Linked DNA regions of Daphnia pulex. Each later gene encodes a partner of the first gene's protein in a complex. Links are inferred from orthologs where the notes say so. Each region holds a gene or a part of one and is shown on either strand. Other genes may lie near its edges.

The links.
Region 2: the proteins of NADH dehydrogenase [ubiquinone] 1 beta subcomplex subunit 10-like (region 1) and uncharacterized protein LOC124205711 are in contact, whole or in part, in a cryo-EM structure (PDB 8BA0), measured with the Drosophila melanogaster proteins. The link is inferred for Daphnia pulex from reciprocal best matches to the Drosophila melanogaster genes ND-PDSW and NP15.6. Residues at the interface, in NP_651972.1 of Drosophila melanogaster: Trp40, His42, Gln43, Phe45, Thr50, Ile51, Asp52, Ala65, Phe69, Arg70, Arg71, Met74, Val75, Glu78, Ile79, Ile82, Leu83, Arg86, Ala112, Asn115, Trp116, Ile118, Lys119, Ala129, Tyr133, Gln136, Lys137, His138, Arg139, Leu140; in NP_650774.1 of Drosophila melanogaster: Gln101, Phe102, Arg103, Trp105, Ala106, Gln107, Arg108, Glu109, Gly110, Phe111, Leu112, Glu113, Leu114, Val125, Ser126, Pro127, Asn128, Tyr129, Val130, Asp131, Pro132, Ser134, Ile135, Thr136, Leu137, Pro138, Leu143, Glu147, Ile148, Ile149.

What each region holds. Positions count from the first base shown.
Region 1 is NC_060017.1:7,432,251-7,435,567, reverse strand, and holds NADH dehydrogenase [ubiquinone] 1 beta subcomplex subunit 10-like, read right to left. Parts: upstream 1,528-3,317; 5' UTR 1,394-1,527; coding exon 1,297-1,393; intron 1,207-1,296; coding exon 1,071-1,206; intron 1,007-1,070; coding exon 959-1,006; intron 897-958; coding exon 805-896; intron 740-804; coding exon 624-739; 3' UTR 512-623; downstream 1-511. Other genes in the region: uncharacterized protein LOC124197638, read left to right, coding at 27-350; 60S ribosomal protein L3-like, read left to right, coding at 1,993-1,995, 2,254-2,446, 2,552-2,720, 2,997-3,132, 3,196-3,317.
Region 2 is NC_060026.1:15,898,779-15,901,708, reverse strand, and holds uncharacterized protein LOC124205711, read right to left. Parts: upstream 1,652-2,930; 5' UTR 1,597-1,651; coding exon 1,411-1,596; intron 1,258-1,410; coding exon 1,124-1,257; intron 1,059-1,123; coding exon 908-1,058; 3' UTR 798-907; downstream 1-797. Other genes in the region: E3 ubiquitin-protein ligase Rnf220-like, read left to right, coding at 1-4, 79-233, 296-370, 440-511.

The DNA.
Region 1 (3,317 bases):
TTTTTTTTCCGGCGGATTATTTTTAGATGCACGTGCCCTATTGCGACTTGCTCACCATGGATCCTGGCCATTCGACAGCACACGGAGAATTCGATCGAGATCCTGATGTACCGCCGTTCCTGGCGGCCGGAGCGGGCGGAAGACCCAGTCCGATGTACATCAACAACGCGGAATCGGGACCCGGCATCCAGCAGGAGATGGACTGCACCTGTCAGATTCACTACGCCACCTACAACCGACCGAAAATGCGCAATAGCAATCACGTTGCCGGCATTCACAGAGCGTCCACCATGCCCCGCAAGGTGGCCTTCGAGGGGCTGGCCAACGTCTACCAACAGACGCCGTTGTGACAAATCGACGACAATTGACTCCCGAATCTCTCCCTCCCGCCGAATCGTCTTTTAACCTTTTGTGTGTGTATAACATGTGCTGTCCTCTCAATAAATGAACGGAAAAAAAATAATGATGAAGAAAGGTGTTTTCAAGTTATTTTTACCACGTCAATAAACCGTCTATGTAGATTCTCATTCTATTGTGTTTACATTGCGACCATTACAAAGATACAGTTCTATCCATTGAATAGAAAGCCATCTTTTTTTTTAATCTTTTCTTTTTAAAGGGGCTTATTCTTCAATCTTCATGCCGGTGCCGACTTTGCCGTGCCTTCTCTCCCACAGCATGCGATGCTTCTGCTTCATGTAGGCATCCTTGACGTTGTTGTAGGGACCAAGGTCTGCGTCTGCATTGCAAGGGAGGAGCATTAGAATCATTGCAAACTCATCGTAATTGAAATGATGCACTTACATTTCATGCAGAAACTTTCCGAAACTTTGTCAAATTCTTCCTTAAGCTTGGCACATTTTCTATCTTGATCTGGTATCTCATAAGCAATGCACCTAAAAGAATAATGAATATCAATGACCAAAGATTTAGAGTGTGGAAGGATTTATGAGCTTACTCCTTCAAGCGCTGACGAACAAGTTGAACAATCTCACCATCAACTAACCTGTAAAGACAAAAAATTGGTTAGTTCAAAGAGACATCCGTATAATTTCATATAGGTGGCATACTTGTCACGGTTGAATTGTTGCTGTGCCTCAAAGCGGCAGACAGGATCATCAGTGTAACACTGATCGATGGTTGGGACTCGTCGAAACTTTTGGTGGTAGTAAACATGGTCTGGTCGATTGGGGGTCACAACCGATTCTGTTCAATTACGAGAATTGTCAGGTGATTGATAAACAAACAATAACTGTACCGATACGACTCTGCATTATTGCTTTATTCCAATCTTACCTCGGAACCAAGTAACAGGACGATCAATAGTGTTTTGCACCGCATGGACGAATCGAAAGAATGGGTTATGAGCTGGTGCTCTTGGAGGATCTTCCATTTTAACTTAGGGTTATTAAGTAAATTATTGAATTCGAGTTTGAAATTGACGAAAAATTGCCTGTTTTTCTAAGGTTTTCGTGACAGACGACGAACTAGTCGGCCATACTTTCCGTCTCTCTATCAGCATTGCCATTTCAGAAATTCCGTTAATCGAGAATTCAGATTTTCAGAATCATTTTTGAATTTCTTTTTGAATTAGAATCGAAAATGATTTCGCAGTCCAAATGAAATAGAAATAAAGTGGGGCACGAAGGGAATCCGATCTAATGAGTCAGCGTTGTGCAAACTTGAATAGGCTGGAAAGCAAAATCGTTAAAATGCTAGAATTATTAGAAAATCACTTTTTAATTCCATGTTGTAAAAGAAAAAAATATTTTAGGTTACTAACAATTCAAAATTCAGTTAACAATACAAGTTATTTGTTTTAATCATAATTTAATTTCAAGCGGGTGGCGGCGGCTGGCGGCAGCTGTAAAAAGTTGGGTGAATTTCAAAGACGAGTTGGCAATGCTGGTTACTGCATGAGGCAAAACTATATATATATGTACCGGTGTGCTGGTTACTTTCCTGTACATCTCTTTCCGGCATTCTAAAGCAATGGTAAGTCAGTGCTCACTTAAAAGAAATATTTTATCTTTAAACATCGAGCGTATTAAACTTTTGATTCACGTAAATTGTTGATATTGTATTTGGCAAAAGTTCAATGTGCTGTTAGACTTTAATATGTGTCAAGAAATGTGAATTTTTTACTAGAATTTTAATCTTGTTGAAGCATTGTTTTCGTCGAGTGGAATTTTTATTAGTACAATTGTAATTTATTATGGTTTCGTTTTATTAATTCATGCTTTGTAATTACAGTCTCACCGGAAATTTAGCGCGCCTCGCCATGGCTCCATGGGATTCTACCCCAAGAAGCGTTGTCGCTCACATCGTGGTCGCGTAAAGTCCTTCCCCCATGATGATCCCAAGAAACCTATCCACTTGACTGCTTTCTTGGCTTACAAAGCTGGCATGACCCATATTGTTCGTGAATGCGACAAACCTGGCTCAAGTAAGTTTCGTTACCTGTCAAATTTCACTTAGGAACATGCTGAAAAACTACTCGCAAAGCTGACATATCAATGGCAGAGACTAATTTCTCTTTCTCAAACTGTAGAGGTCAACAAGAAGGAAGTTGTTGAGGCGGTTACCATCTTGGAAACACCACCAATGGTCATCGTGGGCATTGTTGGTTATGTTGCTACCCCCAAAGGTCTTCGTGCTTTGAAAACTGTCTGGGCCGAACATATCGGCGAGGACTGCCGTCGTCGTTTCTACAAGAACTGGTACTTGACTTTTCTTGCCTGGTCTTAAGATGGTCAAGTGATGATTTAATATGGTTCCTGAGCTAAATGCCTGAAGACAGACTTTGCTTGAACTAGGGCGAACTGATGACTATCTAAGACCTTTTCAAATAGTAAATGCTCATTAATACTCCAGCTCCTCTGACCAAGTGTCCATGAGCTTCACATCCAATTGGGTCTACAGTCTCCGCTCAGTTTTTAACTGATGAGGCTTGTGCCCATGAAGGATTCTTTTTACCACGGTATCTTATCTTGAAGGTACAAATCCAAGAAGAAGGCTTTCACCAAGGCTTCAAAGAAGTGGCAAGATGACTTGGGCAAGAAAGTCATTGAAAAGGAGCTGAGGGCCATGAAACGTTACTGCAAAGTGATCCGTGTCATCGCTCACACTCAGGTTGGTATTCTGCAAAATTCTCGTTTTGTAATTTTGACGTCATTTTTTTTTCTCTTATTGCAGATGAAACTTCTCCGACAACGTCAAAAGAAAGCCCATATGATGGAAATCCAAGTCAACGGAGGCACCATCCGCCAAAAGGTCGACTGGGCCCGTCAACACTTGGAGAAGACCATTCCAATCAC
Region 2 (2,930 bases), on another chromosome or scaffold:
GAAGGTACAATATAAATTAAAATTTTGATCAAAAACCCATTCAAACAAATAACACACAATTTTGCTACTTATCAACAGGCATAATAAAATGCGAGCGAGATGCTCAGATGTCGTCGGCTTACAAGGAAACGGATTCCAAAGATCACATCATCAACGCGTTGAAGAATCGTGTTTGTGATTTAGAAGAAATGAACAAAGAAGCCAAGCAGAAAAATCGCTGTCTCATCTGTCTGGTAAATTCAGAAGAAATTAATTAAACCTTTAAACATTTTTCTAATTCATTTCATTATTGCAGGGCGATTATCGACAGCCTGTAGTATCCACTTCGTGTTGGCACGTTCACTGTGAAGAGTGTTGGCTTCAGGCATTGGTAAATTTCGATTGTCTTTAGTGTCACCAACTGATTTTTTTTAATTGGAAAATTTTATTAATTCAACAGGGCAACAAGAAACTCTGCCCTCAATGCAATTTGATTACCTCGCCGACTCACCTCAGACGGATTTACATGTGAATTTCTTAATGTGATGGTGTCAAAACAAATTATTTTGGGTTCTCATAAGTCACTGAAGAATTTTTTTTCAAATTCAACATTTAAACTCTTTAATTATGATTTTTTTTTGGCCAACATTGTTTTCCCCCGAAACTTTTTCTTCCATCATTTTTCTCTCTCTCTCAACATTGTTTCCTTTATTTTGATTGGGTGTGCGTATGTACGCGTGTTCTCTGTTGTTCATGTGTAAATATAGTAGGCTTTCTCGCAGTGCTTTCCTCCAATCATTTGGTTTTTCTCCTTTGTCTCCATTTCAATGCCAGGTAGAACTTGTTTCAGTCTACCCTTTGGTTGGTTTATTTGTATACACAAAGCATCCTCTACAATTTGTCTTGTTTCACGTTTTTAAATCAACTTTTAAATGATGATCTCGTAATCACCCAAATCTTCTTCTGATGGCAGCACAACGGTGGATTCATCAACGTAGTTGGGGTCAAGCAGAGGTAGTCCCTTGGCCTCCCTTTCTCGAACAAGCAGGTAGGCTTCTCGCTGGGACCAGTCCCTCAAACTGAAACAATGTCAATGTTGTGTTAATCATAAACAGTGAGAAATATTTTCAGTGTGATGACTTACGCGTGGTCAGGCCCATACATGTAGGCCAGTGAACCGATGACAATGCATAGTGTTATACCGAATAATGAAAAAAGGTGGGCTAGTGCAACATCCTCAGTCTCGTCCTGGGTGGTGAATCCATAGGTCATCCATTTCTGAAAGAATAAGTCACAAATTACATGAGAATTCCTGAAACTGAGCAAATCGAAACCATCTGAGGACAGCCCTTCAACTAATCTCTTACGTATTGTAGGCTGCTACTCTGCATTTCTATTCAAGGAATTATACGAGAAAATTATTGCTAGTACCTTTCTTGCCGAAGCAGCAGCGACGTCGATGTCGTGGGTAACTTTGTGTGACGGGATTTTTTCTGTGACTACAGCTGTTTCATCCTTCTTTTTGGACGTGGAAATACAACGATTGCCGAGTGCGATAGGTCGAAGATAATTCCTCAAAGGGCCTGCCAATCTTCCAGATCGAACAACGAACGCCATTTTTACCAGAAAATTTCTCACGAACACGAAAAATTTCTGCTGCAGACGACAACAGTGTTCGCCACCTTACGACGAAAATTGTAAGTAATATTGCTGCCACCTAGCGCCAAAATTGAGTAACACTTTCCTCAAAGTCTCAAAGTGGGGCAGTTTAGTCTGCAACTCTGCATAGTGAACAACGCTTGAAAATGGTAATTTCTACTTGTATTCTTTAAGAATATAAAAAGTGTAAATTTTTTGTGTTGTGCATTAACAAATAAAGAAGCCAACTATTTCCATCTGATCATGTGGCCTGAAACTGCTGTTTCCCAAAATGTCGTCTATTGCTGTGCTTTCGTCACATCACATGTAGAAATACTTCTCAACAGTAAAAATGATCATGTTGGTGTAACCTTAAGGTTAAACATTTGATGACCTTGTTTCTGATATTAATGGAGATTTTATTTTTCTATTAACAGCATGGTGAAGTCTGAGCTTCTTCATTGCAGTCCAATGTGCTGTGCAGTGTGATTTGTTGCAGCCAGCTGGTGAAAGGTGTTCCTCTTGCAGACTTGCTACCTGTAACGCTTGTAGCTTTCGTCACATACAGAAACACTTATAAACAATCTAAAGTAATTAAGTTGATCAACTTTTTTACGGTAAGACTACACATTTACTTTGTTGATGACTAGCTCTTTGCTTTATATCTTTTGACTTTTCAGTTAAGACTGTTCAAAAAGCTTGCCAACTGTTGATTCCTTTGTAATGTTTTTAAAAGAAATTCTTAGAGATTTCTTAGTTTAACTATGCTTCTGTTATTTTCTTATGTTACATGTCAATTTGTTTTCTTGTAGTAATTGAGTTGTTTTCCCTCCAAGTAGGATTAGCAGCTTCTTAAAAGGTCTGAGCCTCTTTGTTGCAGTCCGATGTGTACATGAATTCTGTGCAACCAGCTAGTGAACAATGTGGTGAGCTGTTGCATGCAGACTGCAGTGTTCTGGTATCGTTCGTTCATTGAACTATAGACCGTTCAGTCGTTCCTTTATCGTAAGAAATCTGACACGGTGTGTAAAATTGTTTCCACTAGGTGGCAAAGAAGGTTAGAATTTCGTTCTTGATGTCGAAGACTAGTGACATCTCATTTTGTGCTTCTAAATAAGTGCTTAAAAATTGTGTAAGGTACTTGTAATCTTTATTTGTTTTTCTCTAGTTTAGCGTACATTTCAAGTAAATCCTTTTTGGTATCTCTTTTACATTTCAAATTTGTATTGGTTCATTTATGTTCTTTTACTTTGTAGATTTCCATGGTCAGTTTGTTGTTTGAGCTGTTTATGGTGTTGCTGTTTGGGGTACAG